Lytechinus pictus: one gene and its partners. The protein of the gene in region 3 binds, or shares a complex with, the protein of the main gene of each other region. Links are inferred from orthologs where the notes say so. Each region holds a gene or a part of one and is shown on either strand. Other genes may lie near its edges.

The links. The genes of interacting proteins can lie anywhere in the genome.
Region 1: U6 snRNA-associated Sm-like protein LSm6 (region 3) and U6 snRNA-associated Sm-like protein LSm5 share a complex: the UniProt entries of both Homo sapiens proteins name them as parts of the precatalytic spliceosome. The link is inferred for Lytechinus pictus from reciprocal best matches to the Homo sapiens genes LSM6 and LSM5.
Region 2: U6 snRNA-associated Sm-like protein LSm6 (region 3) and peptidyl-prolyl cis-trans isomerase H-like share a complex: the UniProt entries of both Homo sapiens proteins name them as parts of the U4/U6-U5 tri-snRNP complex. The link is inferred for Lytechinus pictus from reciprocal best matches to the Homo sapiens genes LSM6 and PPIH.

Annotation. Positions count from the first base shown.
Region 1 is NC_087245.1:27,099,233-27,102,989, reverse strand, and holds the start of U6 snRNA-associated Sm-like protein LSm5, read right to left. Parts: upstream 2,431-3,757; 5' UTR 2,312-2,430; coding exon 2,269-2,311; intron 323-2,268; coding exon 227-322; intron 1-226. UniProt on the Homo sapiens protein: Plays a role in pre-mRNA splicing as component of the U4/U6-U5 tri-snRNP complex that is involved in spliceosome assembly, and as component of the precatalytic spliceosome (spliceosome B complex).
Region 2 is NC_087258.1:26,237,912-26,241,668, reverse strand, and holds the start of peptidyl-prolyl cis-trans isomerase H-like, read right to left. Parts: upstream 2,337-3,757; 5' UTR 1,939-2,336; coding exon 1,873-1,938; intron 1-1,872. UniProt on the Homo sapiens protein: PPIase that catalyzes the cis-trans isomerization of proline imidic peptide bonds in oligopeptides and may therefore assist protein folding. Participates in pre-mRNA splicing.
Region 3 is NC_087249.1:11,246,111-11,249,867, forward strand, and holds the start of U6 snRNA-associated Sm-like protein LSm6, read right to left. Parts: upstream 2,937-3,757; 5' UTR 2,858-2,936; intron 1,083-2,857; 5' UTR 999-1,082; coding exon 890-998; intron 70-889; coding exon 1-69. UniProt on the Homo sapiens protein: Plays a role in pre-mRNA splicing as component of the U4/U6-U5 tri-snRNP complex that is involved in spliceosome assembly, and as component of the precatalytic spliceosome (spliceosome B complex).

The DNA.
Region 1 (3,757 bases), on a different chromosome or scaffold from region 3:
TTAACTACAGAAGGTTAATATTGATTCTTTAACTCACAAATTTACATGAAAATGTAATCAAAAGAGATCATTACTGTAGACTAGTTTATTATTACAACAAACATTTATTTTCCTCATTAGACTTTTTTTTTTCACTCCAACACAAGAATTCTATTCCCTTTTTTAAATGACATTTTAACCAATGATTTCTGTCACAAGTTGATTTATTAATATTCAACAAGGATACTGACAAAGTCATCAAAGCCAAGCAGAGTTCCAACAATCTCCTTGTCTGTCTTCATAACAATGTGAATCCGGGAGCCAATACATTTGTCAACAAGTTCTGAAAGATAAAATCAAAGAGCAAGAATATGATTTAGACCACAGAATCAGTCTCTTTATTGGCAGAGTTGTGTTCAAAATTTCAATCAGGCTGCCTCCAAAAAGAGGAGAAATCTTAATAGTAAATGTTTTAATACTCAACTCAATAGGTCTCTGGATTTGATCATTAAAGAAGAATGACAAGCTAGAACAGTCTAACCCATGATCCTTTCAATTTACTTCGTCAGAACAAAACACAATGTTTTATGACTGACATGTAGTTTTAGTTACAATATATTCAAATGCAACATGCAGAATCTTTTTCTTTTGGCATCAAATAGTTATAGGTTATTTAAACTAGTGCAACACATTTCTAAACTAAAGAAACTTATCAATAAGATTAAAATGTAACAACCAGTTAACGATAAACAAAACTATCAAGAAACATATCAATGAAACTCGAGAAGCAAATTAATAGAACTCTAAATAAGTTACAAGATTGTGACACACATAATGAAAAACTTCCCCATTTATAATTTTCATTTTTTGGGAGGACAATATTTCGGCAATGAAAAGTATAAGCTCAATCAAATCACTTTTCCTACTCGACCCCTAGGTCTGATATCTGACAAATTCAGTAGCGGCTGGGTTACCCACTTGCTATTTTCCAGTCAGTCCACTAAAAATAAACTCACGCACCCCACCCCTCTCAGCTTCAGGCTTGTCTTGACTACATCGGGGAGAGGAATTTTTTCTTTTTAGTCACTTTCTCATTCATCCTCCACTCTCGGCTCTAACAAGTTAGGCAGTATATTATAGACATGGTAGAGCTAGCATGGGCGTAAACTCCAGGGGGGACAGGGGGATGCATCCCCCCTACCAAAAATAGTAGGGGGACACAATATCAAATGTCCCCCCTACTATTTTTGGTCTTTCATGGAGAAAAATACATCATTCCCAATCGAAATAATACATATATTTTGGACTAAATGACCTCATACATTTTGGGTGAAAACCTCTTTTTTGCTTGTAATTTTTTTTTTAATGACCTTATATTTTGGGTGATTATTATTTTTTTGCTTGTCAAAGTTTCCAGCCCCTGTTCCCCCTACCTTTGGGGACAGATTTCTGCCCAAAGTGCCCATGAGAGATAGTAACTTTAGATACCGTCTGGCAGAAGGGATAGCTCGGTCTCAGAGTCAGAACAACTATCTTTGTGGCGGTAGCACTTTAATAGTAGGTTGGGAGTCACGTGTCCGGACACTTTATATTTTTGAAGACTTCTTTTTTGTCTTTGAGTTTGAGTCTGACTTTGGATTTAATACATTAAAATTATGAATTCAATAGTTTTAATCATCCTCTATTTTGTTCTCTATAATATTTCCTAACCAGAAGCGGATCTAGAGGGGGGGTTGGGGGGTTGCAACCCCCCCCCAAAAAAAAAAAAAAATCCGGGGACCATTTTTTAAAATCTTATCTTTTTTTTAAAACTTGTAATGCAAGAAAACGCCATTTTCACACACAGATTTTCAAAATTTTTCCCTACTGTGGGAGGGGGACACCCCCCTCCCACACCCTCGCTCGCTTGGACTCGGTCGCTACGCTCCCTCGCATACCACCCCAACCCCCCCCTTTATAAAAAGCTGGATCCGCCCCTGCTAACATCTTGTACTAAAATTTGATGAAACTTCGCTCGTGAATTTTTCCAAATGACTTTCTAAAATTGATCGTCCGGACGCACAACTTGTCCGGACATACAACAATGGTAGTGGTAGAGCCAAAAGTTCAAAACGGTATGCCGCGCGTGGCCTCCGTACTGCCAAGCCGTGCCGGCAGGCAACCGGGTCAGAGCGGGGAGTCAGCCGATGAGCTGAGCTGAGCAAAGCATGACCACGGGCATCTGAAGTTGCTCTTATTACGTTACTTAGTCTTAGATAACACCACGTTCATAGAAAACAAGGGTCTTACCAAGAGGTAAAAGGTGAGATGGGTTGGAAGTACCGGTAGTCATACTGTCGTGATTTTAATTTTATTTTGATCCACAACCCCGTCAAATCGTTGTCGTTCACCGATATGCGATAGCAACTTCCAGTCAACTCAATTTCCAGATTAATTTGTCTCTTAGAAGTCGTTGATGATGTTTTTCATTTTTTTCCCTTAAAGTTGTGTCGAAATGTCTTATAATTTAAAAAAATATGAAAAACATACCCTTTAATATTTTTTTATCCCTAAATAAAAATAATATTAAATCAATTTATGTTACTATACTTCCAATATTTTTTCTTATTGCTTCTGGCCCGTTTGGAATTCGATTTGCTTGGCCTATAGAGCGCCCTTGAATAAGTCTACGTTAGAAAAAACAAGACCACATTGCGAATTCGACCTTAATCAAAACTCAAGAAACTCCTGAGAAACGTTACCGTACTCCGCGCGGGATTCGATTGAAAGAAATCGTCGAGGAGAGATACATTTTGTCGACCAACTTTATTTTGATCTAACGTTAGGCCTACCGTTAGATGTCCCAGTTTTTAACAATAACTTTTTACAAGGGTCTTTTATTTTTTAGCTTAGCCCGCCTTGGCTTAGTTAGGCTTTATAGCTAAACCAAAGACAAGTTATCATCAGCTCACCAGCCCAGGTCGCAGTGCACTCAGGCTCAAGGTCTGGAGAGCTCTGCATGCCATTCGTCTTCTCCGCGTGTGATTGTCCCTTGTGAGTATGATCATTTTATGAAAATGCCCCAGGGGTCAGCTGATGGAAGGATTCTAATGATTCAATAGTGTATTTTAGCATCGAAGCTGAAGCTTTGCAGACACTTTCTACCAATCAATGGACATTAGTTGATTATTAGACTTTAGACTTAGTTAGACTAGAGGTCATTGTCAAAAGTTGGTGCACAAGTGCTGGATCTGGATTAAACTCTGGATAGCACACGATCAAATTTTGTAAAAATTGTAAATGTGTCGTTTGTCCAGACTTCTGTTTTGATTCACCGATTTTTGACAAAGGCTCCTTTGTTGAAAGGCTTTTGACAAATTATCAGCGATTTAGGACTAACGTTAGGCCAATAGAGAATTTAAAAAGTGTCTGTGAAGTGAATGCTAAAACGGTGCAAGACTTGAATTCTTAAAGAGTTTTAGCTTTGGAAACAGGAACTAACTTTAGTAAAAAGTAGCTTGAAAATGAACTTAGCCCAAGCATAGGAAATCTGTTGATGTCTGCCGTGACTGAAATAGGACTAGTATTGACCGGTGGACCCCCTTTAACTTTTACGTAAGATAAAATAATTGGACTTTTTTTTAACATGAATTTTAGACAAAGTTTGAGTTGATATTATTTGTCTCCGGTTGATTGTTCCCAAGTGTGCTAAAATCTCCAACCTATTCATTGTTTTACTGCTGTAGTATTTTTCATTACCAACCACCCTGGACTTGTCAGGCAGGTAAGGCTCAGCTAA
Region 2 (3,757 bases), on a different chromosome or scaffold from region 3:
TATCCCATAGAAAACACATGTTCGGTAATATACAATACTTTTTTCAAGTGACCAAAATATTTCACATGCGAAGAGGGGTCCGATCGATTGGAAGCTAATATCGTAAAAAGGTAAAACGATTTCGGCAAAATTTTTACATATTTATATTTTGTAGGTAATTGTGTATTTATGGTGAAAGTTTGGGGTGAATTTTGTGAGAGTAATGTGTTCGATATCATACAGTATGATTGAATTTGAATTCATGATAAGTGTGCGGTAATACGATTACGATCCACTTCCATATATGTATACCTGACTGTCCCGAGTATTCCTGAATTGACAACCTAAAGTAAACAAGTCATGACAAGTTGACCTTGAAGTAGATGATCTACAACGATATATTATTCTTAATTTTTGTATTCTTGACTTATGACTACACTGAGGGCATGTAATAGATTTTCAAAGAATACATTGTCATTATTATTTAAGGATGAAGAGTTTGTGAATTTGTATCACCAGGCATAAGACTAAGACTAGAGCAAAAAGAGACATTTTGGGGGTATTTTATAGTCCATCAAGCTCAATCAAAGGGAAAGTTGTTCACATTCACACATCTTTGACTTTGTCGCATATTTTTGCCAATGGCGATGCCATTGAATTGGCCAATTAAATTGGGAGGATCTCCATGATAGCACTGCCACTAGCCACTAAGTTTAGCATGCAGGGGCCCGTTTCTCAACACCGTCATAAGTCTAACTTCTTGACTAAATCGGAGATAGTGAGCTACTTGTCCGCTAACCGTTTCACGAAGCCCTCTTTACCAAGATCGGGTACAACAACCTCACTAAATATTTATGACACATCCGAACCTGTCATAACTTCTTTCTTTATGACGTAGTAGCATCACGTGGGTAGACTATGACATGCAAAAGTGCCTAGAAATTTTAAAATTATAATCTTACGTAATCAATCATAGAGGTTAAAATCACATCACAAAACAAGTGGGATAATGCATTCAATGATAATTGTAATACAAATAAACTATATAAACTGTTGGTAAAACGCCACAAAACTATTCATTTTGAAATAGTAAAATGATTTAATCGATAAAGATTCTACCACGTCAGGCCATCCATAACTGAACTCGTATTTGTTGTTTTCAGACCCCTATTAACAGTTGGATGAATTCTAATTTCTATCTCTAATTTATGCATATAATTTGTCCAATATCGTATCTTTCGGTATCAATGATTAAAAATGTTTCGTTAAACTATATTTTGATGACGTTTGGAATCGTAAAAGTCCGTATAATTATCACCATTTTACAAAAAAAAACGTTATGGTTTACTTTCGTAAACTATTAAAATTGGGTCTGCCGGGCCGGGGGTACCCATCTCAACGTCCACAAGTGATTTTTTAGTCATGAAATGAATTATTCATAATTTGATTTTCTCTGCAATTGAATGCTCCAGTCTTCATGGTCTAAGTATGTATGATGCATAATTCACCTGTGCTATTATTTTGAAAAGATTTTTTTCCCAATTCATCATAATATTTGCAATTTTGTCATATCATATTTATAATTTTTCTTTTTGAAAATTATGCTATTTTGTGACTAAGGCTACGTCTCGTCTGCTCTTTTTACCGATAGTATCGATATCAAGGTATTCTAGTTAGGAAGCCTTTCGAGAAACAGGTTTAGTAAGATTGGAACTAACTCCGTGGTTGGTGGATAAAGATATGCCGATAAGGCGATACATGTATATGACTAACTTGTCCATGTGTTGAGAAACGGGCCCCAGGGCCTTCACAAAAATCAGCACGTGGGACCACAGCACACAGGCACGGAGTAACTAACGGTCCGAGAGCACATGATTATGATAAGAAAATTACCTGCCCTCCTATTGTTATGTCAAAGAAAACAATAGGGTTGGTTGGGTTTGAAGCTCCCGTCGTCATTGCAAACTTTTTAGGACAAGCTTAAGCCAGAGAAACGTGATGAAATTGTGTTCCAACTTCCAAGGGCAAGGTTTTAGCACACCACCACTGCATGCACTAGCCACTCTCTCACGCGCGGTATCGAGGTCGAGAGCGTACGGTATACCAAAGGTGAAGGCGGGTACGGTGATCACGAAGCTGCTGGTTAGACCACTCTAAATGAGCGCAAAGGACCTCAAAGTTAGTAGTTACTGATATCTAGACTCTGGTAAGTAAAAAAAAAACAACTTGGAATTCTAACTTAAGTTTTATTTAGGCCCTAGGTCTCATTTTCATATGCAAGTAATGAAAGAAGCTTGATTTTACCAAGAATAAGATTCAACTACCGGTATTCGTATCATGATATTGTAGTTGGTCTTGGATAATAAGATACTCAAAGTTAATGCATACCCGAATCGGGATAGCGTCGCAATTAAAGAGGCGAAGTAAAGTTTTGCCTGTGATGCGGTGGGTCATCAAACCCTGTGCATCCCCACTAAAATTGAAAATGAAAATATAGAGAAGGTTCAGAATAATATATCTAGCCATAATATAGATTAGAACATATATGATGGGGGAGTGGAAATACACACCAAAATATGGCTTTATTCCGTCAAATTTCGAGCAGGATCTAGTGCGTGTAATTGTCCATAGACATCAGTTTATTTAACTAAGTTAGTCAGTAAAGCCAAAGGGTCTGTGAGTCTAGACTAGTCGAGCTATCGGCTGATAATCATTAAAATACCCCTTCCGGTATCAGCGCTTCTCGCTAGCATAGCGGGAAGAGGTCTTGACCACTCCTAGTACCAATGAGGTCCAAACATTACATGTATGGACCTCATAGGCGACATCAGTAGTATTTTTGGTTAGAAATCTCTGAGAACAGGATATTTATATATTATATCACAAGTACAAGCTATATTCCTTTCTCTTATTTAAATTATAATTTTATAGTGTAAATGCATCGTTAGCAACAACAAAAAAATGAAAGAAATGAAGGGGAACTTACATTTTCACGGCTTTTTCCTGATTTTCTGGGCAGTTGCTCTTCTCTTCTGACTCGCGATCGAAGCTGATATGAAGATCACGTGATTCGCGTTCTCGTCAGCTGATCGGTTGGTTATTCTTTTTGTCAGACGTTAATAATATATATTTTATAATGCTAGCATTCATCGCTAATTTAGGTGAAAGAGATTGAAGTTAAACAGCGCCAGGTCGGAATCATAATTATTTTGGAAGAGTGTATTTATACACTCGATCTCATACCTGACGTAGACGGCGCTATTCAACAAATGCACAATCTTCAATATAAAAAATAAAACAGAAAGAACGCCTTGAACACATGCCAAAATGCCTAACGATTTCTCCGCGGCATTAACAACTATCGTAAAGGGCGCTCCATTTATTAATAAAGATGGATGCATAGCTGTCTATGGCGACAAAATTTGCCGCAAATATTTACAAAGAATTTGTGAGAAATGGTCTGAAAATGCAACAAAAGAACCGGTGAGTACCGATTAAACATTATCAATTTATTTAATAGAACATATTTCATGACTAGAGTTTATTAATTTCTAGATAATATTGCTTAGTTCTAAGCTAGGGCGGCCCAAATGCGCGTGAGTGGAGTCCCAGTTTATTAGCACGGGTAAGTATTGGGGTGTCGCCTAGAGTGGTCTTGACTGCAGATAAAACGAGGTGAGTTAGAGTCCCAACTAAGGTAAGCAACAGTAAAAAAATGATAGAAAAATCTGAGATGAACGAACCGGAAGTCTCAACAATCTTGTTATTTTTGGTGGGG
Region 3 (3,757 bases):
GACCGTTGACATACTCTTCTGTCTGCTCCAAGGCGATGTTCATGTATCCATCCAAGCAGGCAAGAACTCCTGTAAAAAAAGATGGTAGTAATGATAGTACTTAATGATGATGGTGATGATGACAAAGATGATGATGGTGATGATGATAATGGTGATGATGATGACGATGGTGATGATGACGAAGATGATGATGATGATGATAATAATAGTAATAATAATAATAATAATAATAATAATGATAATAATAATAATAAAAATGACAATAAGAAAAAAAATACTACTAGTACTAGTAAAATGATAATAAAATGAAATAAAATAAATTGAAAAAAAATTGAATAATATAAATTTCATGAGATTACAATTTTTTACATTAGATACAGAAGGATAATATGAAGACTATAAACTTTATAACAAATTTTCTGTTCTGATTATTCTGTGACATCATCTGTGAGCTGATCCATGATATTTGTTGTTTATTCGAAATTTTACATATTGCGTTATTTACAGTTCACAATGAATTAATATGTCTTTTATAGAAGCTTGCATGTAATAGTGTGTCTGGATACAAAGACACAGGATGAACACCAATTTTTTACAATTTCAAAAATATATATGATGATTTTTTATTTTTATGAAGAAATAGAAGCAGGAAGGTGATAAAAAATAAGGAAAAAAATGGGGAAAGTATGAAAAAAGATGGGAAAAATAAACAAGATTAGCAGGAGAATGAATACACATACAAAAGCCATAGATGCAATTGAGGAAGAAAGGGGAAAAGGGAGCATAAAGAAAAAAGGAATAAACACCAGATTTTTTAAATATACTGTATAGACCTAGAAGAAAAAAAGAAGAAAATGAAAGTCCTGAGAGAAGTATGCCCTTTTCTTACCTCTGTAATCTACACCTGAATTTAGTTTGACAACAACTGGTTTGCCGATGATTTGCTTTAAGAAATCACTAGGAGTTTGTTTCCTGGCTGTAGTAGTAGCAGTACTCATGATGCACAGAGCTAGTCGGTCACTACCTGACACAGCTGTTCATCCAAGTTTGAGGATCACCAAATAAAACAGCAACTCTCAGAGCTGGTGACAAAGTAGAAAAATTGACTGGAGTGAGAACAAAATAAAGCTATATAACAATTATAGAAATTATATCTATGCGAGAGTATAAGGCAAACCTATAGAGCCGAATTATATAAACTTCAGACTTTCATTCATTTCAGACTTACATCTTCAACTTGGACTGACTTTTTGACTACCTTTCCTCAGTACACAATTTTCCAAACACTATCTGCAAATCAAGGCAAACACCCATACGTTCATTACATGCCACGATGCACAGGAAAATCAAGGCACGATGCATGCAACTCTCTCTCTTAGCTGATCCCTCCACTTCTTTGGAGATTCCTGGAGTCCAGATGGAACACTTCCATCCATGGGATTGCGCGAAATTTGGTATTTTGACAAAATCTAAAATAAAGTCAAATTGTTCTATTTCACTTACCGAATGATATATATTCTCTTTGGTGACTTTTTTCTAACTTGACTTTGAATAAAGAATATTTTTCCTTGCTGTTGATGTCTGTGCTGTGCCCCTCCTTGAACAGCAATTTTCAACTAAGGAGGGCGTGCAATTTATATTCATATCAAAGACACTACAGGGTAAAGACATTACTTTACACGCAAATTGATGCAAAGCGTTACGCGAAGATGGCAAAGTGTCCAGTCTTTTCATTGTAGACTTTGGTGGACTGTTTGTTGACAAACGAACAACGGCTCGCACTGCTGGTTTTGTTCAAGGCACATAGAATTTTATTTTTTGTTAATTTGTCATTGCTTTGAATGATTTAAAAAAGTGTTATCGTCAGTAATAATAATCTAAAAATATGTTTGGAAGGTAATGCATTTATTGGTGTCCATATTTTATCAAACAATCATAGGAATTGAACTTAGACACAGTTTTAAAACTACCGATGAGTTGAATAAAGGTTATGAAATTTATTAGCGCCATCGGGCTTCCTTTTACTTCCGTGGTTCAATAAACATGCAAAACCACTTTTCAGGCCGAGGTAAGCAATTTTGCTATTTTTCATTGAATTTAAAAGCGTAAAATTTTAATATATTTATAATTTGTACTATAACTACTCACCGGATGTGCCCCGGTGAGCTTGCGAGTAACAAAAATGAGTTTTGGCAAACATTATCACAAGAAATCTAGGAAATTTTTCTGTCAAGTGCCGACGCCAATCAAGTGTGCTAGTCAATGTAAACATATCAGGTTTCATAACAAGATTATTGGAAGACGGCAAGTCGTGAAAAATAGACGGTGGAAAGTACTATGGCAAGATAATTGTCATTTTCAATCTCTATTTTAAGAATCAAATTTACTTTGAGAATATGATGAAATGTAGCTGTATTTACTATTTCAATTTGCCTGTAATGGAAACTGACAGTGTCAAAAAAATCAAGCATTTGTCCCCTCCCCCCCCCCCCAAAAAAAAGAGAAAATAAGAACAAGGTTCATGTATATCATAACCTTGTTCATAGAATGAGTGGGACAATCCCAATCTTTTGAGACAGAGCTTTTAATTGCGGGATCGCGGGACCAGCGCCTCTACTGTTTATCGGTCTACACCAATAGCTATGGCTGGGACCGAAGTAAAAAATGACAAAGTCTGATTTGACTTTCGTCATCATCTTGTCATTGCAAACATAAGTACGTCTTAACGACACCTTAATCATTCTAAAAAAGAGGAAACACAAGTACCGTCAACACAATGGGGTCTTTTACTACCATACCACATATATATAGAAAAATAAACCTTATTTATGGCAAAATCTAATGCTTATATATTCACCCTTCTTATGGAGCTGGAAATGAGCGGCTAGCAATGCAGCGCCGGAAAATATGGTCAAAGTTCTCGCGTGAAGCTAGTGTTAATGGTTAACTGGCAGGGTCAGTACGCAGCTTGCAATTAATTTTCTTTATCTTCTATGTGAAGTAATTTGGGATACAGGGGGTTTGATTCGACTTAGATAATTTCATTATGTTTATATTTATTTCTTCTTTTCAATTTTTTCTAATCTTCTTCGAATTTATAATGAAATTTAATCTAGTTTTAAATAATAATATTCACACAAAGCTGTAGAGCAGACTAAGTTTGGGGGAATTCCCGAGCGATTCCCACCGGCCACAAATAACACACACGAATTGTGACAAAGCCCAGTCAACGCCATATTTTGTGAAGTTCTAAAGCTATAAAGCGGAGAAGCTCATCCCAGCAAACTCTCTTTCCAAGTTCGTAACCAGTGCGATATCTACTATACATCATTCGATCCAGTTCATTTTCGATTTCAAAAGGCATTACATTTACAACCAAGTCCGTAACTATATATATTAATATAACTGTGCATGTGTCTGTGACTGAATTGAGCCGAGGTAACTTATAATTTAAGTTTAGAAATAGAAATTATCCTAGATGCATTTATTCTTAAACCATTAACTTGTTAAAACATGTGTTAGGTAGCAGGTAGACTAACATTAGATCTAACAACATGGATTCGAGTAGTACTAGTAGTAGACAGCTGGCAGCCGTCTGTTTCGAGGAGTTTTTTAACATTTTTTTATTTTTTTAATTTCTCCTCATACACTGACGGCTCGCTATCGTGCAGCCACCATTAGGGGACTTACAATGCAAAATCCCCCCGTCGGGGCTCTTCAATTTTTGTCTTGAATGAATCAAACTTTTGAAAATTAA